Linked DNA regions of Mus musculus. The protein of the gene in region 1 purifies or fractionates together with the protein of each later gene. This does not show direct contact. Links are inferred from orthologs where the notes say so. Each region holds a gene or a part of one and is shown in the gene's direction. Other genes may lie near its edges. The genes, in order: Copa, Copg2, Copb1, Arcn1, Nudcd1, Copg1 and Copz1.

The links.
Region 2: the proteins of Copa (region 1) and Copg2 fractionate together in Homo sapiens (co-fractionation; 4 studies listed by BioGRID and IntAct, with this or other methods). This does not show direct contact. The link is inferred for Mus musculus from reciprocal best matches to the Homo sapiens genes COPA and COPG2.
Region 3: the proteins of Copa (region 1) and Copb1 fractionate together in Homo sapiens (co-fractionation; 6 studies listed by BioGRID and IntAct, with this or other methods). This does not show direct contact. The link is inferred for Mus musculus from reciprocal best matches to the Homo sapiens genes COPA and COPB1.
Region 4: the proteins of Copa (region 1) and Arcn1 fractionate together in Homo sapiens (co-fractionation; 4 studies listed by BioGRID and IntAct, with this or other methods). This does not show direct contact. The link is inferred for Mus musculus from reciprocal best matches to the Homo sapiens genes COPA and ARCN1.
Region 5: the proteins of Copa (region 1) and Nudcd1 purify together in Homo sapiens (co-immunoprecipitation; 3 studies listed by BioGRID and IntAct, with this or other methods). This does not show direct contact. The link is inferred for Mus musculus from reciprocal best matches to the Homo sapiens genes COPA and NUDCD1.
Region 6: the proteins of Copa (region 1) and Copg1 purify together in Homo sapiens (affinity purification with mass spectrometry; 6 studies listed by BioGRID and IntAct, counting the BioPlex papers as one, with this or other methods). This does not show direct contact. The link is inferred for Mus musculus from reciprocal best matches to the Homo sapiens genes COPA and COPG1.
Region 7: the proteins of Copa (region 1) and Copz1 fractionate together in Homo sapiens (co-fractionation; 6 studies listed by BioGRID and IntAct, with this or other methods). This does not show direct contact. The link is inferred for Mus musculus from reciprocal best matches to the Homo sapiens genes COPA and COPZ1.

What each region holds. Positions count from the first base shown.
Region 1 is NC_000067.6:172,099,400-172,103,474, forward strand, and holds part of Copa (coatomer subunit alpha), read left to right. Parts: intron 1-268; coding exon 269-368; intron 369-1,979; coding exon 1,980-2,115; intron 2,116-2,810; coding exon 2,811-2,893; intron 2,894-4,075. UniProt on the Homo sapiens protein: The coatomer is a cytosolic protein complex that binds to dilysine motifs and reversibly associates with Golgi non-clathrin-coated vesicles, which further mediate biosynthetic protein transport from the ER, via the Golgi up to the trans Golgi network.
Region 2 is NC_000072.6:30,893,565-30,898,359, reverse strand, and holds the start of Copg2 (coatomer subunit gamma-2), read left to right. Parts: upstream 1-1,565; 5' UTR 1,566-1,662; coding exon 1,663-1,699; intron 1,700-2,118; exon of another isoform or gene 2,119-2,301; intron 2,302-2,765; coding exon 2,766-2,818; intron 2,819-3,432; coding exon 3,433-3,513; intron 3,514-4,570; exon of another isoform or gene 4,571-4,795. Other genes in the region: Tsga13 (testis-specific gene 13 protein), read left to right, coding at 1,117-1,286. UniProt on the Homo sapiens protein: The coatomer is a cytosolic protein complex that binds to dilysine motifs and reversibly associates with Golgi non-clathrin-coated vesicles, which further mediate biosynthetic protein transport from the ER, via the Golgi up to the trans Golgi network.
Region 3 is NC_000073.6:114,247,828-114,251,902, reverse strand, and holds part of Copb1 (coatomer subunit beta), read left to right. Parts: intron 1-1,627; coding exon 1,628-1,857; intron 1,858-2,925; coding exon 2,926-3,095; intron 3,096-4,075. UniProt on the Homo sapiens protein: The coatomer is a cytosolic protein complex that binds to dilysine motifs and reversibly associates with Golgi non-clathrin-coated vesicles, which further mediate biosynthetic protein transport from the ER, via the Golgi up to the trans Golgi network.
Region 4 is NC_000075.6:44,750,504-44,754,578, reverse strand, and holds part of Arcn1 (coatomer subunit delta), read left to right. Parts: intron 1-2,303; coding exon 2,304-2,469; intron 2,470-3,215; coding exon 3,216-3,363; intron 3,364-4,075. UniProt on the Homo sapiens protein: Component of the coatomer, a cytosolic protein complex that binds to dilysine motifs and reversibly associates with Golgi non-clathrin-coated vesicles, which further mediate biosynthetic protein transport from the ER, via the Golgi up to the trans Golgi network.
Region 5 is NC_000081.6:44,376,048-44,380,122, reverse strand, and holds part of Nudcd1 (nudC domain-containing protein 1), read left to right. Parts: coding exon 1-63; intron 64-3,436; coding exon 3,437-3,729; 3' UTR 3,730-4,075.
Region 6 is NC_000072.6:87,901,086-87,905,160, forward strand, and holds part of Copg1 (coatomer subunit gamma-1), read left to right. Parts: intron 1-1,112; coding exon 1,113-1,356; intron 1,357-2,399; coding exon 2,400-2,475; intron 2,476-3,002; coding exon 3,003-3,106; intron 3,107-3,730; coding exon 3,731-3,856; intron 3,857-4,075. UniProt on the Homo sapiens protein: The coatomer is a cytosolic protein complex that binds to dilysine motifs and reversibly associates with Golgi non-clathrin-coated vesicles, which further mediate biosynthetic protein transport from the ER, via the Golgi up to the trans Golgi network.
Region 7 is NC_000081.6:103,271,375-103,275,967, forward strand, and holds the start of Copz1 (coatomer subunit zeta-1), read left to right. Parts: upstream 1-1,513; 5' UTR 1,514-1,549; coding exon 1,550-1,567; intron 1,568-4,593. UniProt on the Homo sapiens protein: The coatomer is a cytosolic protein complex that binds to dilysine motifs and reversibly associates with Golgi non-clathrin-coated vesicles, which further mediate biosynthetic protein transport from the ER, via the Golgi up to the trans Golgi network.

The sequences.
Region 1 (4,075 bases):
AAAAAAAAAAAGTCAAATGAAAATAAAATATCAACAAATGATCTCTACAGTGGCACAATCTCTTAAGTCTTTTGCCTTGAGTATTTCAGAGGCTGAGGAAATAGATCAGTGATAGAGTACTGACTTCAGCACCTGTAAGGCCCTGACTTTGATTGCCCGTATCACAGAAAAAGAAACAGACACATTTTGTTATAAACACTAGCATGGTTTTCTTTGAATTGTGTTTTTACAGCTGTTGTAGAAGACCCACTTTTTCTCTTTTTAACAGGGTCATGACCGTGGAGTCAACTGGGCTGCCTTCCACCCGACTATGCCCCTTATTGTATCTGGGGCAGATGACCGGCAAGTGAAGATCTGGCGTATGAATGGTGAGTAAGGTACTGGCGATGTTGCCATAGCCAAGAAAGTGGCAGCCAGCCAGCAAGGGGAAGTAGCCAGGTTTTCTGGACTTTGGCCTATTTTTCTGCCTTAGGCCTTAGTTGATTATTTACTGCTATTCCTAAGTGCATGATCATTGTCTCTTCCTCCCCTCCACACCCCTCATGGCAGTATCTTGATTTTGAGAGATATGAGCATAGTCAAGAGTAAAAGTTCATGTGACAAATTGTGAGTAGCTGCTTTGTTTTAGACTGTGTTTAGGGCCATATTTATATTATTGTGACTCAAAATTTCCATGATATAGAGTTTATATTTGTTCTCAGAATCAGCAAGTAATACATATACTATGTGGATAAAATAAGAGTAGAAGCATAAAGAATTATTTAATATAGCTGTTACAGTCAGTAGAGGTACATAATAAAAGAACAGAGATGTACAGAAAAACAGGAATTTTGGAGCTGAGGTAGCTGTGGCTACTCAAGAGGCTGAGGTAGGGGCTGGTGAGATGGCTCAGTGGGTAAGAGCACCCGACTGCTCTTCCGAAGGTCGGAAGTTCAAATCCCAGCAACCACATGGTGGCTCACAACCACCCGTAATGAGATCCGATGCCCTCTTCTGGTGCTGTCTGAAGACAGCTACAGTGTACTTTACATATAATAAATAAATTAATTAATTTAAAAAAAAAAGATTTCCTAAAAAAAAAAAAGAGGCTGAGGTAGTACAATTCCTAGGAGGTCAAAGGTAGCCTGAGCAACAGCAAAACCTTGTCTTGACACCCCCCCCCCCCCGCAAAAAAAGGTTCAAGTAACTAAAAAAAATAAACATAAAATAAAGAGGAAGAAACTTACATGAAAAACATTGTCCCATTTGGGGAAAATTGATTTAGCATTTTGCAATAGTACTTAGCACTTGCATTTAAAGAGCATCATCACAGCTGTCCATGACAGTATAGCTTTGCAATGTCTATCAGCATGACGATATAGCCTTGCAGAGTCAGCATGCATGTACATGACAGTACAGCCTTGCAGTATCAGCATGACGGTATAGCCTTGCAGTGTCAGCATGCATGTACATGACAGTATAGCCTTGCAGTGTCAGCATGCATATACATGACAGTATAGCCTTGCAGTGTCAACATGACGGTATAGCCTTGTAGTGTCAGCATGCATGTACATGATGGTATAGCCTTGCAGTATCAGCATGCATGTACATGATGGTATAGTCTTGCAGTATCAGCATGCATGGCTGAGGCAGGAGGATCACAAGCACAAGGCCGTCCTGAGCCATATAGCAAAACCTTGTCTCCTCAAAAAGCTGGGGCTAGAGATGGCTCAGTGGACCCACAGAGGGCTGAGTTTGGTTCCTAGCACCTATGTCAGGCAGCTCACAGACATCTGTTACTTCAGCTCCAGGGGCCCAAGGGCTGCCTTCTGGCCTCCACAGATACTACACTCAGATGCAAAAAACCACATACAGATAAATACACACAAAACTAAAAACACAACTAAAATCTTTTTTTTTTTTTTAAAGAATGGGTGTTGGATTTATAGATCCCAGAGTTATTACAGAGAATTGTGATAACAATTCCTTTTGTTCTTCAGAATCAAAGGCATGGGAGGTTGACACCTGCCGGGGCCATTACAACAATGTGTCTTGTGCTGTTTTTCACCCTCGCCAAGAGTTGATCCTCAGCAATTCTGAAGACAAGAGTATTCGAGTCTGGGATATGTCTAAGCGGTAAGGGAATTATTTATGTCATGTGACCAAACCCAAGAGAAGGACCCTTTCTTTGTCTTATCCTTTGTCTTCGCGCGTGCGTGCGCGCACACACACATACACACACACACACACTCCTTATGCAATATTAATATCTGTAAAAGGAAAGGAAAAAATTAGAATACTTCTTTTTCTCTTCAGCATGATGAAAAACCAAGTCCTGTGTTCTGAAGTTCTAAGGCTGTATTGCTTAGTGGTTAAAGTGCTTGCCTGTCATGCATGAGGCCATAAATGTAATCCACACTGCTGTAAAGCAGTAAATAAATAAATAAGCAAGCAACAGCAAAAACCCTTAGAGACTAAAATAGCAACAATATTTTTTAGGTACAAATCTCCCTGTATTCTTTTTCTCCTCTAAATTTGAGTATATTTTTTTCTTCCCTTCATTGTTCAGCTAAAGAGGTAGAAATGTGAACTAAAAGTACATTAGGAGAGACAAGGGAGAAACTGGCCTGCCTAGGCCTGGGTTAGTGTGAAGCCTTCCCTCCCACTGTGTTCCTTGTGGGTGTGGTCCTGATCCTTAGCTGAGTGCACAGCATTCCCTGTCTCCAGTGCACTTGTAAAGTCATCTTCCAGGCCTGCTACTCACTTTCCTTGTGCATGCTGTACTGAAGAGCCTTGATTAACGGTTTCTTCTGTACCTTTTGGTTTTCTAGGACTGGGGTTCAGACTTTCCGTAGGGATCATGATCGCTTCTGGGTCCTGGCTGCCCATCCCAACCTTAACCTCTTTGCAGCAGGTAAGGACCATTTCTTCTTCTCGCTCCTGGGATTTAGTTGAAAGTTTGTAGATTTCAAAGTGATTCTTCCTTAGCTTTGTCTCTTATAAGTGGTAATAGGAAAACAAAGAGAAGCAGAGTTTTCAGAGCCACCTACCGGAAGCTTTTCTCATTCTCATCTCTTACTTTTGGGAGATGGAGCTCTTTAGTGATCTTCACCATGAAGCTCTGTTTGACCTTAAGCTCATTCTCTGTGATGTGCTTTTAGGAGCTCATAGGAGACTAATAGTGAACATTTAGAGTTCTCAGAGTGAGAACGTAGAAGCCAAGTCTACTTCATTCATTTGTCAAATACATAATAAAATATCAGCCCATGCTCTTTATGCTGGTGTCAGAGCAGTGCATAAATACTGCCTGCCTTAGTGGAGCTTTAAGGGAGATGGTCTGTAAACTCTAAGTATAGAAAGTGATGTGTGTTTGAAGATGCCTTGAATAAAAAGTCAAGGGAAGGGAGGACGATGACAGTGGTGGCCTACAGGCTTATAGTGGGTATTCAAGAACGTGAACATGAGTGAGAAAAGGGAGACTGTGCTGTCACAGGCTGCTTTCCTAGTTTGTATGAGGTCCTGGGTTCAAGAAAGAGAAGGAAGACCAGGGAGATGAGTGACAGAAAACTATTTGGAAAAGGTTTTTAAAAACTGTGAGTTTAGGAATGTATTTAGGGGGGGGGGTATGGCGGACTTTTGGGATAGCATTGAAAATGTAAACGAGGAAAATACCTAATAAAAAAAATTTTTTTAATGGAATGTATTTAGCTATTGTATCTGTTTTCTATAGCTACAGCAAAAATGCTTCACACTGTGTACTTTTTTTTTTTTTTTTTTTTGGTTTTTTTCAAGACAGGGTTTCTCTGTATAGCCCTGGCTGTCCTGGGACCAGACTGGCCTCAAACTCAGAAATCCACCTGCCTCTGCCTCCCGAGTGCTGGGATTAAAGGCGTATGCCACCACCGCCCAGCCACTGTGTACTTTTTAAAAAGGGATTTGAGCCATGCGGTAGTGTCTGGTTGAGGACAGCCTGGTCTATAGAGCAACTTCCAGGACAGTCAGGGCTACACAGAGAAACAACCGTCTTGAAAAACCAAAAGGGAGTAGGAGGTAGGGGGCTAGAGAGATGGCTCAGTGGTCAAGAGCACTAACAGAG
Region 2 (4,795 bases), on another chromosome or scaffold:
ATCGGGATGGAGTAACATTTTAAGTGGCACCATTACTAAGGTTTGGGCACATTATTCAGCGGAATCTATATATGATGGGAATTTTTTCTTTTTCTTTTTGTTTTTTCAAGACAAGGTTTCTCTGTATAGCCCTGGCTGTTCTGGAATTTGCTGTGTAGACCAGGCTGGTCTTGAACTCAGAGATCTGCCTTCTGGGATTAAAAGCGTGTGTGCTATCATGCCCAGTTTGAAATTTTTCTTAAGGGTATGTAGCATAATCTAGGTAGGACCTTTTCTAAGCCCTGTCAGGATGAGATAGATCTTCATGTATAAAGTAATATGTCAGCCTTCAGCTCTAGTGTCATTTATGGCGACTACATATGCCCTCTCCAAATATGAGTGCTTTACTTTTGTACCTAAAATGAACAGACAGTTATGGTGCATTTCCTCAACAATAACAAAGCTGCCAGGGTGTTTTACTAGTGGTGCCATTTCTAAGCTAACATCTCTGTCCCCCAAATGATGCCCTATCATTTGTGTGTGTGTGTGTGTGTGTGTGTGTGTGTGTGAGAGAGAGAGAGAGAGAGAGAGAGAGAGAGGGAGAGAGAGAGAGAGAGAGAGAGAGAGAGATCTGAGTAGAAGTTGTCAAGTTTGGTTAGAAGGTTGCCCAAGAGGCAAACCACGCCCTCAACGGAGGAAGGACTGTCATTAAGATCTTAAAGTAGTCAACGCCCTAAGAACAGGTGAAGCTGGAAAGACCTTCTAGAAATGTGATGTCTTCGATGCCCAAGGCATTAAAAGCGTGTTTTTCATACTCTGAGACGAGGACAAAAAAAAAAAAAAAAAAAGAGAAAACATTTGGAAAAGCACTGAGACACATGAGTATCCCTTAAATTACTTGAGTGTTATGCAGATTGAATCATTTGAAAATGGTGAAAGCCAAGAAAACTACACTGGTTTGGGTGAAGAAGGAATCATAAGAAGTTGGGAATGGCAGTCCCCAAATCTACCCTCTTGGAAAGTTAAATTAAGACCAGCTTTTCGGTCTCCTCAAATGGATCACATCACGCCTTCCTTTTAGTACGCTTCTAGTGCTCTCAGAGTCGCACATTCAACGTGTCCTATGCTTTGTCGTAGTTTCCATGAAGTCAGAGAGTGAAACACCAACTTCGCAAGTATTTTGGGAACCCCTGACATTTTCAAAGCTCCTAGAAGAGAAGCCTACAAGAAGTGTGCCAGGGGAGAGCTTCTTTCGCCATGGAAGGGCCCAGCAGTGGATTGTCAAAGATGCGGCTGTCATTTGGTGAAGACAAAGACTTAAAGCCCCACTCCTCACTCTCCAAGAACTGAGGGGGCCTGGAGAAGTCACTAACCAAATAAAGTTCCCTGTTTGTTGTCTCAGACCTGGCTTGCAGAGTTTGTGAAGCGGGGCGTGGTGAGCCTCCGGGCAGATTCTGGCCACGCCCCCGTGCGGCAGTGGGCGGAGCAGGGGGCGTGCCTGCGTCCCTAGGGGGCAAGGGCGGCCGCGGAGGCCCGAGGGGGGCGGGCCTTGGCCCCGAGTGACGGCCCGCCGGCCCAACCGGTGCGAGAACCCAGGGCCTGCCTTCCTGCAGCGTCTTCCGCTCGCCGGCTGCGGCGCCTGGGACGGTTGCGGTGGGTCTGGGCGCTGGGAAGCCGTCCAAGATGATTAAAAAATTCGACAAGAAGGACGAGGAGTCTGGTACGCGCGGCGCTCCGGACGCCCACTCTCAGGCGCAAGGGTTTCCCCCCTTCCCTCGCCCGCAGCCACCTGCTCTGGGGGGCGGCCGCAGCGGCGGGGTCTGCCCGAAGCCCCTCCCCCGGCGCCGGGGCCTCCCCTCGGGCCGCGCGCTCCTGGCCGGGAGTCGCCTCGAGCGCTCGGCGGCTCCGCCCCGGCGCGTCCCCGCCCCCCGCGCCCGCCCCCCGATCGAGCCCCTCCGAGCCGGCCCTCCGTGGGGCCCTGTCGGGGGGCGAGGAGGTGCGCGCGCAAGTCTCGGTACCCTGGGGTTGCTGGTGGGGTTAGGCCCCAGGGCGAGCACCCCCTGTTTTGGGAGCTGGGGTCGACCGGGCCAGGGTTGCGTGTTTATGGACTCTGAAGGGCCTTGATTCTCCTGTTCCCAGGGGTTAAGACTGCCCGGTGGGACACAGCTCATTGAATGCTCAGGCATCCAGAAGTGACTTGCGTGTTGATACCTGTCTGTGGTGCAGTGCAAGTGGGGAAGATGCCAAGCCTCTTCAAAAAAAAAAAAAAAAATCTTCAGCTCTTCAGTGGTAGCTGCTCTCACAAGTGTGGTGGAAGGTTGGGTTAGTGGACCTTCATGGCCTCATCCTGCATGGCCTTTACATCTGTGACTCTCTGCGAAACTGTTCCTTTCTGCTTCAGTAAATGTGTGAAACACATAAAATAGGGCTTGCTTTTAGGGAAATCCATAGTGTCCTGTCATCTCATTACTCTTGGTGGTGGTGGAAACCGACACATTTGTTAACATCCATGGGATGGGGGAGGGGGAAGCAGGGAATGAAGGCACTCATTTTGGATAGGGTTCCTATATCAGGAGAAGTCCAAGATATCTCAGTATGGCAATGACAGAATTTGAACCAGAATCAAAATTACTTCATCCAACTTCTTTGCATATTAGTAATAGTTGTCCTTGTGACTTCCAAGGGATCATTCTGTTTAGGTGAGATTTCCAAGCATGCAATATCCTCCTTTAGAAAAGTCTTTGTAGTCCAGCTATTGAAGACCTTCTCTTTTTCTTATACTATAGGTAGTGGTTCCAATCCTTTCCAGCATTTGGAGAAGAGTGCTGTCTTGCAGGAGGTATGGCTTGGATGTGTACAGTGCCTTATCAATTCTGTTTGAGAATAATGGGCAAAGAACCTAGGAAGTACAAAAGTCAGGACAGCCAAAAAAACAGTGAAGGACCGTAGACCCACCTGACAGTCTGAATATCGGTCTTCCCCCACATTTGATCAAAACTAGAAATCCCTTTTTTATTTCTATATTAAAAGTGACAACGGAGTGTAGCAGTGCAGAGATTGTGGAGTAGAGGACAAGGGAGAGGCTGGGACTATAGAAACGTACAGACATATAGACTCTGTCGTGTGCTGGGGGATTTTAATGACATGTCAGGAGTGGTAAGTGCAAGGTTATTAGAAGAGCTTACAGATATTAAACTCGAGGCATTCATATGTAGACAGAGACTCTGGTCAAGTCTTTAAAGTTGAAGTTGTCAACCTAAAGGAATAAAATATAGCCAGGAAAGCAGATAATGTCTGGTAATTTATTGTACGTCATACTACCTTGAGAGCATAGACAACCTGCATTACTTGGATATTGTACTAACATATTGTTAATGCTACTAAAGATGATTTGATATCCTCTGTGATAGAACATACACAATATACAGCATACTGTTTTGCATATTTCTGTAGGCACGCATATTCAACGAAACGCCCATCAATCCAAGAAGATGCTTGCATATCTTGACAAAGATTCTTTACTTACTCAACCAGGTAAACTATTCTGATTTCCTTCGATTTGTGTATTAAGATAGAAATATATAACCTACAGTGAAGAACTTACTGAAAAGCAGAATTGTTTAAAAAAGAAAATCATGTAATTTGAAAATCCACAGTGTGTGATTAGAACAATAATGTGTGAAAGTTCTTTAATACAAGGACTGAGCCTATATTCCTTGTTTAAATTCATGAGGTATTAGACCAACTAAACATGTACATTTCAATAGATATGTTGATTTGAATTCAACAAATACTACTTAGAACATACTTGTTACATGTATTTATTTTTAGTATTTTTTAAAAAGATTTATTTATTTATTTTATGTGTATGCATGTTTTACCTGCATGTATGTATGTGCACACCATGTGTGTGCTCTTGGTTCACAGAGGTCAGAAGAGGGCATCAGGTCACCTGAGACTAGAGTTACTTGGAACCACTCTGTGGGTTCTGGGAATCAAACCTGGGTCCTCTGTAGAGTAACAAGTGTTTGTAACTGCTGTGCCAACAGCAGCTTGCATGTATTTTGAGATCCTTTGAAAATACAATGTAAAGTTAGAATATATTTCAAGATTTTTTTTTGCTTATTTATTTGGCATGATAGTGAAATGTTGAAATTTTTGTCTTAATGTTCAGGTTTTATATTAGTATCAGTTATTACACTAATACTGTCAATATGATTCTAGACAAGTAATTTAACCATTATGTGCCTCATGATGTAAATGAGGTTATAATACCAATGTTTTAAGCTTTATAGTTAAGTGAAATACTAGCTATAAACAGTTATCATAGTGCTAGGCATATTTGTATTCAGAAATACTTTCCATTGTAACTCAGTGAGTTTTACTGCATACCTGTTGTGTCTTATGAACTGTTCTAGGTACTAGAGTTATAACAGACAAAACCAAAAACATATATTTAAAAAATTCTGTGTTCTATTATTGCTATTAATTTTCCTATTTGCTTTTGCCTCAAACTGTAAATACAATCTCAAAAACATTTAGAACCTTAGAAAATAGAATTTTATTTCATAGACAATATATGTATCTCTATAGGTATTTATATATATACCTTTATATATATTGTGTATCTGGATTATTTATATGTAATGCTAAATGTGTTATACTTTCCAACTTAAATTCTAAGAAAGCATTTAGCTTTTTTACCTTTGCTTATTAACTTTGTGTGTGCTTACATCAGTGTATGTGGCAGTCAGTTCTCTTTCTGTCATGTAGAACCTGGGAATTGAACTCAAGACTTCAGGTTTGATGACAAGTG
Region 3 (4,075 bases), on another chromosome or scaffold:
ATTGTGGTTCCAGTGGATATGATGCCCTCTTCTGGTCTCCCAAGAGCACTACATGCATATGATCCACAGACACACATTCTGGGAGAGACACCAATACACACAAAATATAAAATAATTTTAAAGAAAGAAGGAGCTGGGATTAGGCCAGGAAGATGAGTCAGAAAGTGGAAACCTTTACCACCCAAGCATGACAACCTGAGTTAGGTCTCTGGAACTCATGATGGAGAGAAACTTAGCCTGAAAGTTGACCTCCGTGTCCATGCTGTAACATATGTGCCCATGCTTACTTACACATATAAACACAAGGTAGTTAAATTTTAAAAAGACAGCTTGAATCCAAGTAAATGTTGATAGTTGTAGTGAAAATTGAGAAATCAAAAGAGACTCATTTATATTTCACATTTGCTTATAGTTAAAAGTGCTTAATTTTTCTAGAGTTTTGCTAAATATTTTTTATAAGTTATGTATGCTTGTATGTGAATATGTGTACATTAGTGCAGGTCCTCTCGGTAAGAAGAAGGTATGTCTAATCCCCTGGAACTGGAGTTCTTGGTGGTTGTGTGCTGCCCGATGTGGGGGTTAGGGACAGAGCTCGGGACTTTTTTTTACGTACCTTAACCTGTAAGCCATTGATCTCCAGCCTCCCCTCTAGAATTTTTGAGAATGTCTTTAGTAGACCTTTTATCTTAAGAAAAAGGAATTTTTTTTCCCTTTAGACTTGTAGAATTGGTTTATAGAAATAGGATAATAGCCCAGCCTAATAAAGCTAAAGAAATAAAATCATTTAATTACTTGTTCTTCAAAACACTATAATTTCTTGCATAGTTTAATGTATGATACTTAAATATATCTGGCAATTTTCTGTAGGTAATAAGTCAGTATAAGCAAACAAATGAAGTTAATACAAAAGTAAACATGAACATCCCCTACATGTTTATATTTTCATCTTGAAAACATTTTTGCAAAAGAAACATATATGTTTGAAGTTTGAAAACTCATGCTCTGCTCCTTTAAAGTATATAAGGGCCATTATGTACTTGGAATTCCAACTGTTCAGAGGGCTGAAACAGTGGGTCACATTTTTAAAACTAGTCTGGGCAGCTTAGGCCCCTGTCCTGGTGAAGTGCTAGGGGCTATGGACATGTTAACTATATAGTACTTGCCAAGTACTCAGGAGGCTCTGAATTCAGTACACAGCACTAAGAAGGAAAGCGGTGTGCTGTGTGATTTTACAGGATGGGGTTGAGGCCAGGGCGTACTGTGTAGCCCTGCCTAGAGCTGGCCTTGAGCTGAGGATTGACCTGTTCTAACTTCTCATGTGCTAAGCTAGAAGGTACTCAGTGTCTGCTTCCCTGTGGTATAGCTCTAGGTTCAGGAGCTCTACGTTAACTCAGTTGGTTAGAGACCAGAAGTCTAATCCAGTACTATCAGATCATATATAAGGTATCTGAGATTCAGAGACAAAATAGAGTCACAGACATGTTGTTTGGATTTGTAACCTTGTTACCACAGCTGATAGTAAATTTAGTTTGTTTTATTTTAAACTATCTGAGGAACTTAGTTTTGAAATAATTGTGTTTGTTTTTGTTTTGTTTTGTTTTGTTTTGTTTTTTAATTATTGAATCAGAGAAAGGCGATGTGAAGTCAAAGACTGAAGCTTTGAAGAAAGTGATCATTATGATTCTGAATGGGGAAAAGCTTCCCGGACTCCTGATGACAATCATTCGCTTCGTGCTGCCTCTTCAGGATCACACCATCAAAAAGTTGCTCCTGGTCTTCTGGGAGATTGTTCCTAAAACAACTCCAGATGGAAGGCTCTTACATGAAATGATTCTTGTGTGTGATGCATACAGAAAGGTAAACCAAACCATAACTATTGGCTTTGTTGATTTGTAATTATAAAATTGCTGTAATAGATACTATTAGTTTTCAAAATTAAATGTTTGATGAAATGAAAAAAATTACAATACTTATTATTGAAGTTGTAAACTCAAAAGCTTAGACTGCCTGAAGCTGGGCCTAGCTGTTAATGCTGCCCAACATAAAAACCTAATATATTATCAAATACTTTTTGGTGGATTTGGGGGCGGATTTTTATTTGGTTTTGTTTTTCTTTGTAACTATTGCATAAGTCTCAGAGTAAACTTCGTAGATGACAACATCTTACCATAATATTAAAAGATTGGACATGCTTGTAAAATTTATTGTTTAAAAAATTATTTTGGGGCTAGAGAGATGGCTCAGTGGTTAAGAACACAGACTGCTTTTCCGAAGACCCTGAGTTCAAATCCCAGCAACCACATGGTAGCTTACAACCATCAGCAATGAGATCTGACACCCTCTTCTGATGTGTCTGAAGACAGCTACAGTGTACTTATATATAATAATAAATAAATCTTTGGGCCAGAGTGAGTGGGGCCAACCAGGGCGAGCAGAGGTCCTCAATTCAATCCCCAGCAACCACATGATGGCTCACAACCAACTAACTGTACAGCTACAGTGTACTCATATACATAAAAATTAATAAGTAAATCTTTAAAAAAATTATTTTGTTGCCTTTTCCAACATTTTCTGTGTATTTTATGTTATTAAAAGATAGTAGTGAAATGAGTAAAAATTGTTTTAATCAAGAGGAATCAGAAGGAAATCAGTAATCTAGGTCTTTTTCCTAAATCTAACTTTAACTTTTTTCAAATTAGAAATTTTACATTTAAAATTTGATTTTTATAAAACGTTGAAACTTAAGTCTGTGAGATGGCTCAGCAGGTAAAGAGAGTTTGACTCCCAGGATCCACTGATTCCTGCAAGTTGTCCTTTGACCTCCACGGTGTGTGTGAGTGTACACACACATGCATACACGAATAAGTAAATGTAAGGTTTTTTAAAGTTGAAACTCAACATTTCTTGCTGTAATTTTTATATCAGGATCTCCAGCACCCCAATGAGTTTATTCGTGGATCTACTCTTCGTTTCCTTTGCAAATTGAAGGAAGCAGAATTGCTGGAACCTTTAATGCCTGCTATCCGTGCGTGCTTGGAACATCGTCACAGCTATGTTAGGAGAAATGCTGTTTTGGCCATCTATACCATCTACAGGTAAGGGAGGATCTATACCATCTACAGGTAAGGGAGGATCTATACCATCTACAGGTAAGGGAGGATCCTCCTTTGCTTTACTTCTGTTTTCAGTGCTTTAGAGTAGAGGTTCCAGTGTGGTTGGTTACAGAATGTATGCACTTGTAGATATGTTTTACTAATCAATACAGTATTTTTTCTCTTACTGTCATTACATTGTTACCATGGAGAAGTCAAAAACGATCTGGCATCAGTGAGCCCTAGTTTCCGCATGACAACAGTCAGCTTGAATGGCACAGTGCCACTTAAGATTATTGTATGCTTTCTAGTTTAAGACCATAACCATTATTCCTAATTGTATTGCTGCAGTTCACTCAGTTCATTTATTCACTTGCTAAAGGCATTACAATTTTTTACCTTGTTTAAAATTCTCATTTTGAACAGTGTGGGTCTTGTCTTACAGGCTATAAAGAAGTATGCTTTTAGTGAAAAGAGCTGTGATTCTTAACTGATTCTTAACAGCAGTTGATAATTTGCTGGGCCAGTGGTGTGTCGTCTAAGTTCAGCTTCTAGGGAAACCTAAGTCAGGAGGATGATGGGTTTGAGGCCAGTCTGAGCAACTTAATGAGTCTCTAAGTAGAAAAGGGTTGGGGATGTGGCTCAGTGGGTATTTGTTTAGCAGGAACAAGGCTTTGGGACAGTCATTAGAGTAAAGTAATAAAGCTGGAGATGTGGAAATTTAAAACAATTGTGAAGTTCAGAGGAGGCTAGATTACTAAATTGCTAAATCATGGCTGTCAGTCCATTTAGAAGTAGATTATGGGGCAGTGGTAGATAAAGCTCAGTAGCAGAGTCCTTGCCTAGAGTGTGTGAGCATGGATTCAGGTTGGAGTCCTAGCACTGCCACTTTAACTAGGATATATATTATTTTGTGTCTGTGTGTGCATGTACATGTTTATATGAGTGTGTGTGTGTGTGTGTGTGTGTGCTCAGGCCAGAGA
Region 4 (4,075 bases), on another chromosome or scaffold:
TTTTTTTTTTTTTTTTTCATTTTTTTTTATTAGGTATTTAGCTCATTTACATTTCCAATGCTATACCAAAAGTCCCCCTTACCCACCCACCCCCACTTTTTTTTTTTTAAAGATTTATTTATTTATTTTTTATATGTAAGTACACTGTAGCTGTCTTCAGACACACCAGAAGAGGGCGTCAGATCTGTAACAGATGGTTGTGAGCCACCATGTGGTTGCTGGGATTTGAACTCCAGACCTTCGCAAGAGCAGTCGGATGCTCTTGCCCACTGAGCCATCTCACCAGCCCTCTTAAAAATCTTTATACAAAGCAGACATATATTTATATCTTAGTTGTGTTCTAGTGCTATTAAAAAAAAAAACAAACCCACCATGATCAGGACAAGAAAGCATTTAATTGTGAGTTCTCATAGTTTTGGAGTTAGTTTATAATCATCATTGACAGGAGCATTGTGGCAGGCAGGCATGGTACTAGAGCAGTCGTAGAGAGCTTACCTTCTGATCCTCAGACAGCAGACAAAGAGAAAGAGCCTAGGCTTGATGTGGGCTTCTGAACCCTCAAAGCCAACCCCCAGACACACCTCCTCCAACTAAGGTCACACCTCCAAAAAGGCTAAACCTCCTAATTCTTCCTAAAACATTCCACCAGCTGGGAACCAAATATTCAATGGGCTTTGGAGGCCATTCTCATTCAAACCACCACAATTAGATATAATTTCCAGTTGCATTTTTCCGTTAAATTATAGATAATGAGTAAATAGTAAATAGTGCTTTGTTGTAGTAAATTTCCAACCCCAGTGAGCCTGTGAAAAGAACACACAACTCAGTTATAATATTTATAAGCTGTATATCTATACTGGGCAAGATTGGGAGCAATGCTAATCTGTGTATAAACATAAATATTTAGGAAACAGTGTAGTGATATACCCATTTAGCAAAATAACAGTAAGTTTTCCACTAAGGCCTGTGACATCCCAAACCATGGACTTTAACTAGGCTTACATACTGAAATCTTTCTTGTGAAGTGTAGGCCTCAGATCAAACCAGAAAGCAGTAGGTTCTCCTCCTCTAACCTACTTGCCCCTGTTGCACCATTGGTCCTACCTTGCCTGGAAGGACACTAGTACAGGATTCAGGGTTAGTACTTTTTGGTAAGGCCATTTATCTTTCCTCCCCAGTGGCTGCATAGGATCTATCTTCCAGCACTGAAAGCTAGCCAACAGGGAAGAAGTTTCCAGGTCAGATCCACCAATTTCCCTATGTCCTGAAAGCAAAGTGAGTTGTATCTTCAACAGTCGTTTTAGCATCTAGTTAGGGTGCGCAGACAAGAGCAGAGACAATAGCTTGTGTTGTTTGGAGGCCTTATATCTCATACCTGGCACAGAGATTTTCTTTAATAAAACATATCTTCTAGGGGAAGTATTGTCTACTTTTACAGAGTATCTATGTTGAAATTCCTCTTTTAAAAAATACAGGGAAAAAAAAAAAAAAAAAAAGCCGGCCGTGGTATCCCAGCACTCGGGAGGCAGAGGCAGGCAGATTTTTGAGTTCAAGGCCAGCCTGGTCTACAAAGTGAGTTCCAGGACAGCCAGGGCTATACAGAGGAACTCTGTCTCGGAAAAAAGAAAAAAACAAAAACGTGGGTTTTTTGGTTTTGAGACAAACAGTGCATAGAACTTGCTATGTAGAACAGGCTGGCCTTGAACTCACAGAGATCCACCTCATCTGCCTCCTAAGCGCTGGGATTTAAAAGGTATACTACTACACTCGGCTTATGTTTTTTAAATTTGCTTACAATGTAAGTTTAGACATTACTGTCTTCTTTCTCTCTTTGTTTCCTTCTTTCTTGAATCATGGCACTCACTGTAGGAACCCATGCTGAGGTTTGTGGGAATCCTCCTGCTTTAGCTCCATGGCTTCCATGACTACTTAATATGATTTTCATGTTGAAGGTTTTCTTTATTTTTTTCTCACTGCTACCTGGTATTCATAGTAGTATGTGTTCTAACAGCTGAGCCATCTTTCTAGCCCCTTCTCTTTCTTTTTAAGGGCAGGGTCTCTTGTGGTTCATACTGACCTTCAGCTCACTATGAGCCAAAGATAGCCTGAAGTCCTCCTGATTCGCTTCCCAATCCTACCTCCCAAGTACACACACCGAGTGAGGCAGTACCATTATACCTGGTTTCATGTGGCGCTGCGGGTCACTCAGTGCTCCATGATGCTAGACATACACTGCCAACATAACTCCCATCTCCAGCCTGGTTCCTACTTTCCTGACATACTGATTGACTTTTGTTCTATAGTGTGCACATGAAGATTGAAGAGAAGATCACACTAACCTGTGGGAGAGATGGAGGATTACAGAATATGGAGTTGCATGGCATGATCATGCTTAGGATCTCAGATGACAAATTTGGCCGGATTCGTCTTCATGTAGAAAATGAAGATAAGAAAGGGGTGCAGCTACAGGTATGCAGAGGCTTTTTATACTGAGTACTAGCATGGTTCCTGTTCTGGGTGTTCTGTTTGATTTTTGCAGTACTTTGAAGTTGAATACAGGCTTTTGTTCGAGCAAGGCTCAACTATAGCCTTAGCCACCTTTTTTTTAAAGATGGTATAAAATCTTAAGTCTCTATAGAAGGCAAATCTTTCCACAAAATTTAATATATATATAATTTATTAGGAACCCTATTTATCCACCATGTAAACCCAGAGGGGTTTATTTCCTGTTAGTCTTCCTCTCCCTCTCTCCCTCCCTCCCTCCCTTGATGTGCAATAGTTGAGACAAGGTCTCACATAGGTCAGGCTGGCCTCAGACTCACTATGTAACAGAGTATGACCTTGAACTTCTAATTGTCTGATTCTCTAACTTCAGAGTGCTAGGACTGTAGGCAGTTGAATCCAGAGCCCCATATATGCTAGGCAAGTTCTTTGTCGACTGAGCTACATTTTCAGCTTCTTTCTTCTTTTTTAATTTCAGTGTATTTATTTATTCTGTGTGTATCTGTGTTGTATCTGTGTGTATATATGTCTATATGGGCATGCATGTGCCGTGTCATATGCACAGAGGGCAGAGGGTAACTTTCCAGTGTTGGTTCTCTTTTGGGGTCCCAGCTCAGGTTATTGCTTAGAAGCAAGAGCCTTTACCTACTGAGCCGTCTTGCCTGGCCCCTTTACTTGTCACTCTGAACTTCAGGCTTCTTTTCTCATTCCAGACGCATCCAAATGTGGATAAAAAACTTTTTACTGCAGAGTCTCTCATTGGCTTGAAAAACCCAGAGAAGTCATTTCCAGTCAACAGTGATGTAGGGGTACTAAAGTGGAGACTACAAACAACAGAGGAATCTTTTATTCCGTTGACAAGTAGGTATCTGTGATGGTTTTTTTTTTTGTTCTTTTTTTTGTGTGTGTGATTTTTTGAGACAGGGTTTCTCTGTGTAGCCCTGGCTGTCCTGGAACTCATTTTGTAGACCAGGCTGGCCTCGAACTCAGAAATCCTCCTGCCTCTGCCTCCCGAGTGCTGGGATTAAAGGCGTGCGCCACCACACCAAGCTGTGATGGGTATTCTCTTACCTTCATTACCATAGCAAGTTCTTTTTGGCAAAGTGGAATTGATGCTATTACTTTGTATATTTGAATTAATCGTTTTAATTTTTTAAAAGTATATGTGTGTTTGAATGAATGTATGCCACCTATTAATAGGTGCCTGTGAAGGCCAGAAGAAGTCATCAGGTCCCTGGAGCTGGAAGTACAGTGGTTTTGAGCCACCAGTGTGTAGTTTTATGTAGGATGCTATAGATTTGTTGGTCAGCTGTACTTTTCTTCTTCTTCTTCTTCTTCTTCTTCTTCTTCTTCTTCTTCTTCTTCTTCTTCTTCTTCTTTTTTTTTTTTTTTTTTTTGTTTGGTTTTTCAAGACAAGGTTTCTCTGTCCTGGAACTCACTCTGTAGACCAGACTGGCCTTAAACTCAGAAATCTGCCTGCCTCTGCCTCCCAAGCACTATAATTAAAGGCGTGCTCCACCACTGCCTGGCGGCGGTCAGCTGTATTTCTATTCTTCCATACTCTTGATCTTAG
Region 5 (4,075 bases), on another chromosome or scaffold:
GGCAACCACACTGCAGCAAGCAGGACGACATGTGGGAGCACATTGCCACCTTCAATGCCCTAGGTAGACAGCATTCTCTACAGTAGCATTTGCAGTCTGCCCAAGTAGTCATCATCTTAAAACTTTTTAATTGGAGCCCTCCATTGATTACATTACGTTGATCGTTCCATGGATTGGGTCTTGCTGTGGTTTGCTCTTCTGTGTCCTGTTAAACTGTTAGACTAGAAAGATGAACATGTTCTTCCAGTTGCACAGAAGATAACGCAGGATGAACATGGAAGTGACAATATAACCATTGGAATATTTCTTTTCTTTTTTTTTGGTTTTTTTGAGACAGGGTTTCTCTGTGTAGCCCTGGCTGCCCTGGAACTCACTCTGTAGACCAGGCTGGCCTTGAACTCAGAAATGTGCCTGCCTCTGCCTCCCAAGTACTGGGATTAAAGGTGTGCGCCACCACGCCTGGCATGGGATATTTCTAATCAGTTGTTTCTTTTAAGTCAGTATTAGTAGGAGCGTTGACTTTGCTGTACTCACAACTTGTATGTAAGTCTCTTCAAAAACTCATGCAGTTGCTGTACAGTAATGCCCCCCCCCCCTTTGGAAGACATAGGTCATTGAACTTAAGTGTCAAGGAAGCCAAGCCTGGCGGTGCACACCTGCATTCCCACCACCCGAGTGATGAGGCAGGATGCACAGACACATCTGGGGCTAGCCAGAGTTAATGTAGCAAGAGTCTAAGCCACAGAGTAAACAAGAGGCCATGATAATCAAACAGTCATGAAAAGGTCAAGCACAAATTGAATTTATTTGCTAAAGAGGAAAATACTTGTTTTGAAACTACCCCTTGAAAAAACTTTAAAGTATATATAACTATAGACTATGCCATCATTGATTTTATGTAATATTGTGTAGGAGTTGTACTAGATGAATTAGCTACAGTTATTGCTTTATTTAAAGCTTTTTTTAAACTGGCAGCAAAATGTAGAATTGTGGGTTTTAAAGGCTGTGTGTGTACAATTCTTAATTATTGAGGAAATTTGTCACTTAGCGCTTATAACTAAATGGCCTCACTCAGGCTCTTAAGTGGATTTCTATAAAATGAAATAGTAAGAGGTTTGATAGATTAATTAACCACACAATTTCTGTCCTCTACTGTAATTGCTATTTTGTAATTATCTTCTTTCCTTAAGGAAGAGGAAAGTTCTTCCAGGTTGCTTTTACATGCTAAGACTCTTCAATTCCATGTCAAAATGGTCTTGGAAATGAACTGCCATGCTTCATCCTAAGTTAAATCAATTTTATATTAGCTAGTACTTGAGTTACATACATTATTGTTGGAGTTTCTTGTACAGTTAATGTTCATCTACTCAAATAGATCTCTATATCTTCACCTAATATTTTACAAGCAGTGTTGGCCTGCTTGTGCCTCATGACTTTGCTCACTTTATAGAGTATATATAAACATATATGCAAAATATATAAATATTCATGTATGCATTTAAATCTAGCTTGCATGAGAAAAATGATTTTTTGTCTTCTTCCTTATTCTTCCGCTCTCTACAATGTCATCTATTTTTTAAACACCTTTTTGTATCTTTCTGTACTTACACATATGTGTATGTCTGTGGGTGTGTGTGGGGTGTGTGTGTGTGTTAATATGTAGAGTCTGTATGTGAATGAAAACATGAAGTATTTGTCTGAGCCTGGCTGATATCATTTAACATGGTAATGTCCATTCCCATCCATTTCCTTGTGGTGTATAATTTTGTTCTTTCCACGTGAATATGTGAGTGTGTGTCACATTTCCTCTATGTATTCATCTGTTAATGGGCATCTAAGCTAATTCTATGTCTTTACTTCTGTAAATAGTGTTATGCTGGGTGCAGGCATCTTTGGTTACTTCCATTTTATGACCAGGTAAAACTGCATCAGATGGTGGTTGTACGTTTCCAGTTGTCCTAATTTCCTTCTTGTCTGTACCAGTGCACACTCCCATCAGTACTGAGTGAGTGCTCTTCTTTCCCCACACTATTCTCAACATTCATTGTCCTTTGTTTCCTCAGTAACAGCCATCCTGAGTAACTCAGGCAGAATCTCATTATAGATCTAATTTGAATTTTCACATTAAACATGCTGAACATTTTTTTCTATATGTATGAGATATTTGTGCTTCATCTTGATAGCTACCTCTTCATGTCATCATCCATTTATACACTGGATTGTTTGGTTTGTTGTAATTCAGTGAGTTCTTTATTCTGGATACAATGATTTCTCAGAAACAGATAGCACAGATAGTCTCACATTCTGTAGGCTGTGTCTTCTCAGCATTCCTTGCTTTCTTGCTGCACATTACCTTTTATTTTCGCACAATTCAGTATGTGAGTTTGGTTTATTCCTTGAACTGCTGTAGTCTTCCCCACTAAGTCCTTCTTTTGCTTGTCACTTGTTACCACTCGTTTTCTCTACTGGTTTCAGAATTGCAGGTCTTAAAAGTTTTTGATCGACTTTGAATTGATTCTTCTCCATGTGGATATCCCGTTTCCCAGCAGGACTCCTTACAAAGGCTGTAGGATTTCTAATGTTTGTTAGCGACAGTGTTTCTGTTTGCTCATGCTCTTAGCTGAACCCTGTGAAAGGGTCACTCCTCTCCCAAAAGTGTCTCACTCACACCAGAGGTGGAGAAATCCCACTTCACACCATTCCATTTGTCTGTATGTCCGTTTCTGTGCCTGTACTATGCTGCCTTCGATCTTGTGGCTCTGTAGTATGGCTTGAGATCAATCACTACCATAATAACCTCCACCCATTACTTTCTGCTTAGGATTTCCTTGGCTGTTGAGGGTCTTTTGTGTTTCCATATGAATTTCAGGATTGTATTATCCATTTCTCCAAAGAATATCATTAGAATTTATATGAGGATTTTTTTTTTAAACTGTAAACCACTTTCACTCATATAGCTTATTTTCACAATAAATCCATGGGCATGGGAGAAAAGCCTTTGTATAATCTAGTGCCTTCTTCATTTGTTTTTGTTTTGTTGTTTGTCTTTTTTTTAATTCTTTTAAGTTGTCATTGTATTCCTAGGGTTATTTTTTTTAACTAGGCATTAAAGCTCTTATGTATTTGGTATTTAAGACTTAAGATTGTTATTATCTTATTTCGTAGAGATTAAACAGAAGTATGGTGTGCTTTTGTTGAAGAGCAGGAGGCTTGCTTGTGCCTTAGGAATTAAAGTTCTATTTTTATGCCTCTGAGAAGAAATTGTGACTCACTGTTAATGGTGCTGAATTCAACCATTGTTGACTGTTAATAGTATATGTATTACATAAGTATTTAAATGTGTGATAGATACCATGGGATACTAAGTGTTAAATCTTGATTTTTCTCACTTTAGTTTGACAGGTTTTTTTTTTTTTTTTCTCTTGTATTTTGGCAGGTTACGTCCAAGCCTCAAAGAGAGACAAGAAATTTTTTGCATGTGCTCCAAACTACTCGTATGCAGCCCTTTGTGAGTGCCTTCGCCGAGTATTCATCTATCGGCAGCCCACCCCCATGTCCACTGTGCTGTACAACAGGAAGGAAGGCAGGCATGTGGGGCAAGTTGCTAAGCAGCAGGTAGCAAGCCTAGAAACCAATGATCCTATTTTAGGCTTTCAGGCAACAAATGAGAGATTATTTGTTCTCACTACCAAAAACCTCTTTTTAATAAGAGTAAATACGGAGAATTAATCCTCCAACATTTGTCTAAAAAGTATCCAGTGGTACCTGGAGGGCTGAACAGTTGTACTATAACTTGATAAGTTTTAGCATGATAAATGAGAATACCTTTTATGAAGTTTTATTTTTAAAGGATACTGGAAATGTATTCAGTAGATTATGAATCTGTAAAAGCTGTGGATAGACGAAGCTACAGGATTAGAGAACACCGGCTTCTGTAAAAATATGGAGATATTAGCAAATATAGTTATTTTTTAAAACCTGAGATCGAATCTCATCTTTTATATGAAACATACAATTCAGTGTTTACAAATAAAAATATTTATCATGTACTTAGCTCATTGTTTAGATTGGTACA
Region 6 (4,075 bases), on another chromosome or scaffold:
TGTTTATGATCTGACTGCTGCAGTTACCTTAGTTGAGGGAAATCGTGAAGTGCTCATCTTTTTCTGTCTCCTTTATTCTCAGGTTCCATCTGTATCATAGCATGTATCAGGACTTTCTGCTTTTCAATGCTGAGTAGTATTCCTTTAGTGAAGAGGCTACGTTTTGTGTACACCATGCTGTGGCCCTTGTGACAGGTGCTTCTGCAATCTGTCCTGTTGCTGATACCGAGCACTGGAGTTACCGATCAGATAATTCTGTCCTTGGTGTTGTGAGGAACCGCCATGTTGTTTTCCCAGCCTTGTGTGCTACCCACTCCATTTTTTCATATCTCCGTTCTGTGTGGAGAATAATCTCCCATAGCCGGGCTTTCTGTTTCATGTCAGTGGGTCTGGTAGGGCTATAGCACGCAGGAGTAAAGGAAGAGAGCAGTAAAGTGCATAATGTAAGTGTATACACAGCATCCCACAGGAGTAAGTGGGAAAGCCTGGGGGAAGGAGCAGTCATTGGAGACCCTTGTTGACAGCCTGTCTCCTGCTAGCTGAGACTTGGCAGTTGGCCGTTCCCACTACACGAGTTTTTACATCGTGAGATGAGCTGTAGGGGGTCTTTTGCTTTGGGACTGCTTTGCTTAGCTGTCTTCAGGGACACTTCGTTTTAACATCACATGATTTACTCTGCGGTCCCCAAAGGTGCTGTTTGCACTCCTGGACTGTACTGCTGTTCTCCTTTCCTTTTATCACAGGACAGACGACAATCATCCCTGGACAAGGGGTCTTGGAAGACAAAACATGATTGGGTGTGAGGCCAGAACAGAGTTAGGGAGCAGCCCTTCCCTTCCTCCAGAGCCAGCTTAAACAGCACACGACAGTTCACTAGTGTAATGTGTGTTACACTCAGTAGAGGAAATGGGGTCTAAAATGTTTCCATTAATCTTTCTCCTGTTAGAATTAGAAGGCCAAGCCTTTTGTTTTATCCAACAGAGACTGGAACCAAGGCTTCTGCTTCCAGGCTGCCTATGGAGCGTTGTTCCCTGGGCCTGCCTGAGCTGTAGGCCTGCGTTGGTCTCCTGAGGATGTGAGATCTTTGCTCAGCTAGACCCTTCTCTCTGCAGGGTGGCTTTGAGTACAAGCGTGCCATTGTGGACTGCATCATCAGCATCATCGAGGAGAACTCAGAGAGCAAGGAGACAGGATTGTCACACCTGTGCGAGTTCATTGAGGACTGCGAGTTCACTGTGCTGGCCACCCGCATCCTGCACCTGTTGGGCCAGGAGGGGCCCAAGACCAACAACCCTTCCAAGTACATTCGCTTTATCTACAACCGTGTGGTCTTGGAGCATGAAGAAGTTCGGGCAGGTATATCTGAGCTGGGGTGACCCTGGCCTCTTAGCTTCTTTTGCAGTGAATTTGCCCAGTAATGGGACCTAAGCTCTCAGGGGGACAAGCACACTGGGAACATGGCCTTATAAGCTGTTTTTTACATTGTCAGAAGGATTTTAGATGCCAAATGGATAAATGATTTTTTTAAAATTTAATTTTTTTTTAAATTTCATTGTATATTCGTACTTAAGAGTTTTTTGTTTTTATTTTTTGAGATAGGGTCTTATTCTATAGCCAAGCTGGTTCATACTTGAAACCGTACTGCTTCAGCCTTCTGTGTGCTGGAATCCTAAGTATGTACCACCATACCTGGAGAGAGAACACACACCACAAGATTTATCTTTTTTTATAAGTCAGTGATCTAACAGTCTACCATTTTGGTTTTTTTTTTTAAAGATTTATTTATTTCAATTATATGAGTACACTGTAGCTGTCTCAGACACACCAGAAGAGGCCATCAGATCCTATTACAGATGGTTGTGAGCCACCATGTGGTTGCTGGGAATTGAACTCAGGACCTCTGGAAGAATAAGCAGCCAGTGCTCTTACCCGCTGAGCCATCTGTCCAGCCCTACCATCTTGTTTTTAACTTCATCTTATTTTCCATTTTTACTTCTATTCCCTTGTAGGCAAATTTTCTTCTTTTAGTAGTTAGTCGTAAGTGATGGTTTATTTTCTCATGTTTTACTCTCAAGCTTAGCTACAAAGGAAGCTGCTCAGAAGTAGCTAACAGTGTTGATAATGCCTGTCGCCTTATTCATTTGAAAGTTGTCCCTAAAGCCCTAGAACAAGAGCCACATGTGTGTCACCCTTTCTCCAGTGACTGGAGGAGGAATTAGAGACCTGGGTAGCACCAAGATCCACTAGGATTACACAGGATCTGTTCTGTGATTGTGTCAGCGGTGCCACCCCCTAGCGCTTCTGCGTGGATTCCCACTCTGAACACTGGTGGGCAGCCTCGGCACTCTGGCAGGTGGGCCTGAGGGGCTGCGGGTGAGTCATATTTACCTTGGAACTAGGTGCAGTAAGTGCTCTGGCCAAGTTTGGAGCTCAGAACGAAGAGATGTTGCCTAGTATCTTGGTGTTGCTGAAGAGGTGAGTCTCAGCTCAGAAGCCAGAGTGCATAGCAGTGCTCCCTTGGGTCCAGTCCACCTTTTATTCACAATTCTCTATATAGCCCTGGCCATCCTGGAATTTTCTCTGTAGACCAAGATGGCCTCAAACTCACAGAGATCCTCCTGCCTTTGACTCCCAAGTGCTGGAATCAAAGGTGCAAGGCACCATATCCAACGAAGATTTAATTATGTTTATCTTATTTGTGTGGGTGTTTTGCCTGCATGTATATTTGTGCACTTTTTGTGGTATTTAGTACCTGCTGAGTCCAGAAGTGTACTCCTCTAAGCTCAAGGGTACCTCTGTGTTTTGCCTTTTTTGGCTTGCCTATGGTGCTGGGTGATATCTTTACTAGAGAGCTGTCTACCACTGAGCTGCATCAGCCCCTTGTATGTTATAGTGTTGAGCTTTAGAGCTTTGCCTTGCCCTGCCATCCCTGTACAGTCCTGCAGGGTCCCTCTGACCCCCTGGCTAGGCTCAGTCAGGAGTGCCTTGTGTCCTGGCTGCAGGTGTGTGATGGACGACGACAATGAAGTGAGAGACAGAGCCACCTTCTATCTGAACGTTCTGGAACAGAAGCAGAAGGCTCTCAACGCAGGTTACATCCTAAATGGTAAGTTGTCCCTGGCCACCAGGGCCTTCCTGTGGCCTTAGAGAAGGCGTGCTGTCCCTGAGCCAAGGCACCCAAGACCATTCATGCTTCACTAGAGTTGTATAGCAGTCTCTTGGATTGATATAACCTCAGAAGACCCAGGGCTGCATGGCTTGATCCAGTCAATGGAAATAACCAAGTAAATTAAGTGCTCTTTGTGTGTTACTCTGGCTTGAACTCAGGACTTGCATATGCTTGCCAAGTCTCCACCACTGTGCTGTATCCTCAGTCCAAAACTTTGTTGTTTTGAGATAGTATCTCTTTATGTAGCTAAAGCTGGCCTGGAATTCATGACAATCCCCTCAGGTCAATGTCCAGAGTGCAAAACAGTCATTAATAAAAATCTTTAAGCCTGGTATGTTGGTTTCTGTCTTCGTACCAGCACTTAACTTATTTCGTATTTACCTACCTGCCAACCCTGGAAGGAGGAAGAGGATAGGGAGGGAGTAAAGCTTGCAGGTTCCATGACTGTCAGCATCAGCACATCTACCAGTCATGGTAGGAGTCCCAGGCCTCTGTCCTCCCTAGGCACGCCATGCCTCTCTGTCGTGCCAGCCAGGCAGAATAACTCTCTACTGACTTTAGGTCTGACCGTGTCCATCCCTGGTCTGGAGAAAGCCCTGCAGCAGTACACACTCGAACCATCAGAGAAGCCATTTGACCTCAAGTCTGTGCCTCTGGCCACCACGCCTATGGCAGAGCAGAGACCAGGTAAGGCCCTGCTCATCCCCAGGGCCCGTCTGTTTCCCTGGACTGTAGAGTGTGCAAGGATAGGCTGATATACTGCACAGGGAGTAGCCCCAAGTGGGTAGGGACAGCCATGCTGACAGCTTGCTCTTTTCCTTGCACGCTTCTCTCTCGGGAGAGTTGACATTTACAACATCCAAGCAATAACGTGGGCTCAGCAGCACCATGCTGCCTGAGACTAGA
Region 7 (4,593 bases), on another chromosome or scaffold:
AGGGTTTCTATTGCTGTGATGAAGCACTATGGCCAAAAAAGTAAGTTAGGGAGAAAAGAGTTTATTTGGCTTACACTTCCCTATGGCTGTTCATCATTGAAGGAAGTTAGGACAGGAACTACAGGAACTCAGGCAGGGCAGGAACCTGGAGGTAGGAACTGATGCAGAGATCACGGAGAGGTGTAGGGGGGCCAGCCCTGGTAGGGTCAGGTACTGAGGTGGGACACAGCATAAGATGGAGGTCAAAGGCTAATGATCTCTGGCCTTGTAACTCTTATTGTTCTGGGGGTCAGAAGCTGATAGCTTTCTTTCCATTCGCTCTAATCTCCAATGCCTTGATATCCTATTTCAAATTGAACCAAAGTGGGAAAACGTTGTCCATCAAAGTGCAGGTCTCCTGTACTCAACTCCCAGACAGAAAGTGGGCAGTGGGCAGCAGATTCTCTGAAGCTGAGCAACGGGGCATAGGAGCTGGCAACTGAACTCAGGTCTTCCACACGAAGAGTATGAGCTCTTTTTTTTTGTTTTTGTTTTCGAGACAGGGCTTCTCTAAATAGCCCTGGCTGTCCTGGAACTCACTTTGTAGACCAGGCTGGCCTCAAACTCAGAAATCCGCCTGTCTCTGCCTCCCAAGTGCTGGGATTAAAAACATGTGCCACCACTGCCCATCGAATATGAGCTCTTAACTACCGAGCCATATCTCCAGTCCCCACAGTTTTTTTTTTTTTTTTAAGTAAATTACATTAAAAATATTGAGGGGGGTGGTCTGGAGAGATTGCTCAGTGGTTAAGAACATTGGGTGCTTTCTCTTCCAGAGGTCCTGGGTTCAATTCCCAGCAACCACATGGTGTCTCACAACCAGCTGTAATGAGATCTGATGCCCTCTTCTGGTGTGTCTGAAGACAGCTACGGTGTACTCATATAAATGAAATAAATAAATCTTAAAAAAATATATATTTATTGGGTATGTGTGCATGCCACACGTGTATATCCTGGGATATACTTCTCGAGACCTTGGTTTGTGTAGTTAACGCTTGGCTGCCTATAGCTAACTTGGTGAACTTTCCGAGGTTGTTGAAATGACCCAAGGACACTACAGCTGTGGATATCCTAATGGTGGCGATGGGAATCTGTATTCGGGTAGGGCTTCTCAGCAAGGCTAATGTTAAGGGCTACACATAGCACCCCCTATAGCGAGTGCGAATTGGAGGCTGACAGAATCACGTGGCTTCCTCCTACCAATAGCAAAGTAACAATCGCTTCCTCCGTTCCCCATGGAAACAACACCGCCCTCAATGATCCTCCCGCCCCTTCAGTGCTGAGGTTTTGGCCTTTCATTGAAAATTCCGGGTGACAATCTAACAGCTGCCTCTTCTGGCTGGACAGTTGGCTTCCGTGAAGCGAGTGACTACGCTGACTGGTCAAGACGCGAAGGCTGGCTCATCTTCACCCAATGTTGCCTCTTTGAGGCGGGACCTAGCGAAGACTCAGGGCCAATCAGCGGTGACGTCGCTTGTGCGACTCCACGTCGGCAGCAGCTACGGGCAAGATGGAGGCGCTGATTTTGGTAGGAGCTGGAGGGCCAGTGGCTCCGTTGTGGTGTCCAGGGGGTCCGGGAGGTGGGGCTCATCAGCTGGGGCCGGGAGAGGGTTCCGGGCAGGCCTCGGGGGCCAAAGCTCCCGCTATCTGTGCAATGCAAGTGTGGCCTACAATGGGAGCTAGAGCCGCGGTATAGAGTAGGAAGCCTTGCCGGCAAGAGAGCAGGAGTCGGTGGCAAAGTTGAAGAGAACATGCAGGGTCCTTAGGAGAATTCTGATTGCGCTGGAGGGGTGTCTTTCAAGTTCTCCCCGATGGTTTTTGTTGTGGATCATACCTACTTGAGTTTCCCCAAACCCTCATATTCTAGTCCCCCAAGTTGCAATGGCAGAAGAGAGGTGTTTTGTCAGTCCCAGATCCTCCTGGTGGTGGTCAGAATTCGACTACCTTTTGGCAATTCCATGTCCTGTTCCTTTACAAAACTTGTTTTTATTTTCCTGTTAATCCTTAGTATGTAATTCTGTCATGATTGAGAGTCAGCATTCCATCCAGGTTCAGGAATACTTGGTAGAGCTAGTATAGATTTTGGAATATCTTTTTCTGACTCCTTATTCTTCTCTCCTACTCTCCCCTCCTTCAGACTTTAGGAACTCATACTGTAAGATCCATTTCAGCCTTCTTGCTTACATGAGAATTGTGATTATAGAAGTGCATTTAACTCTCTTGTCCCTTGATCCTTTCTGCTTGTTCTGCCCCCTAGAACAGGATCAGAGCATTTCTTTCAAGACACTGGCCAGCAGTTTAGAGACCCATGAGTCTGCCTACCTGTGTCTGTGTGTTAGTGTAGGAATTTAACTCCCAGCTTCTTTCCTTTAGTTGGACTCCAGGATTGTTTCTAAGAGTCTTCCTTAGCTCCTGTTTTCATTTATATTCCTTGTAAGTGTACATATCAAACTCTTGTCAGTAAAAGAAAAAAAGCTTTTTCTTCTTTCTTTCTTTAAAGGAAAAAAAGTTTTTTGAGACAGGGTCCCTCTCTACCTTTCCCTTTCCTGATGCCCTAGCTACTCATTATGTAAGCCATGTTGGCCTCAGACTCACAGAGGACCACCTACCTCTACCCTCCAAATTCGGAGACTAGAGGTATGTGCCACCACATCAACTTGTTTTAGTTTTCTCACTGAGAGTTTCATGTAGGTCTGACTGGAATCAACTTTGCCACGTAGCCAGGGCAGACATCTATACTCACCTGGCATTTATGTGGGAATTTGAACTTTGGTTTTCTTATTTGTATGACAAGCACTTTAACCACTGACCTATCTGTTCAAACCTCCTTACTTTCCTTCTTGCAAATGTCAAAGAGAATTTATTCTCATCATATGTGTTGGACAAGTTGAAGCAAAATGTTTAATGTATTGAGTAGTTCAAGTATTTACTATACCGGTCAATGAGTTTTTAAAAATCTTGTGACGATGTGGATAGAGTCTGTGAAACTAGTTTCCTTGGATGTTTTTGGTCTTCTTAATCAGGTGTGGTTGCTCACACCTGTAACCCCAGCACTCAGGCTGAGGCTATATTGTTGCTAGTTTGAGGCCAGCCTGGGTTACAAAATAAGACCTCGTCTCATAAAACCAAAATTAATGTAATTTAGTGGAACCAGCTTAAAGAGTGAGGAAAATGGTACTTGGGGAACTCCTTTCCCATTGGTTCTGTTGGGCTGGGTGTAAATGCTAAGAGCATATGGTCTAGCTATCTTTAAAAGCCCTGTGTTTGACCCCAGCACTAGGAGAGCTGAGGTTGTATGGGGAAATCTCTGTGTCATTTTCTCTCTTTCTTGCACTGTGTGGTATCTCTCAGCCTGCTTCTTCCTCATTGTTCCCCCTTGCAGCTGAGCTAACCAGCTGCATGTAGTAACAGACCCTTGCTAACTTGCCTGCATATCCCTCACCTTTACTTTTAAAACTATACTGAGCCTTTGTCACTAGCACCTTAATGTACTGGGTTTAGGGAAGCAGAGCTGTAGGAAAAGGCTCTTTCTAAGGAAGGGCAGTGCCAAAACCCCGTTCCAGTTTTGTTTCCTTGTTCTCTCAGAACAAATTTTTTTTTTTTTTTTTTTTTTGAGACAGTCTCATTATGTAGCTTGGGCTGGGTTTGAATTTGTCTTATCCCAGAGTCACCAGGTTTCTGAGGTTTCTGTAGGTTCTTGCACCTCTTCAGTTTGCAGAATTTTCCTTTCAGCCATGGGTTGTATAAAGTTTTTGTTGATGGTAAAATACCTACAGGGAGCTATGGATTGTGGCTCCCACCTTTAATCTCAGTGTTTGGTTGGCACAGGCAGGTGGATGTCTGAGAGTCTGAAGTGAGCCTGGTCTACTTAGCAAGTTCCCAGACAGTCAAAGCTATGTAGAGAGAGACCCTGTCTCAATAAACAAACAAACCAAACCTACAGGTATTAGTTTTTGTGCTGATTTTTAAAGTTCTTGACGATTAAACTGTTGTCTTTTTTTTTCCCCTATGTTCTTTCCAACTTTATTTAATGATTTTTTTTTTTTTTTTGGAAACTGGGTGTCATTATGTAGTCCTGCCTTGCTTGGATCTTGCTGTGTAGATCAGGGTGGTTTAAATGCATAAGGATTCTCCTCTGGCTCCTGAGTACTAGGATTAATGTTGTTTGTTTCTGTGCCCACCATCACCACCACCATCACCACCACCACCACCACCACCACCACCACCACCACCACCACCATCATCATTATCACATTTATCTTTTGAGACAAGGTCTCTTTACATAGTCTTTTTTTTCCCCCTGGTCTAAAGATTAATTTATTATTATATATAAGTACACTGTAACTGTCTTTGGACACACCAGAAGAGGGCATCAGATCTCATTATGGATGGTTGTGAGCCACCATGTGGTTGCTGGGATTTAAACTCAGGACCTACGGAAGAGCAGTCAGTGCTCTTAACCGCTGAGCCATCTCTCCATCCCTCTTTACATAGTCTTGGCTGTCCTCTAACTCACAGAAATCCACTTGCTTCTGCCTCACAAGTCCTGATATT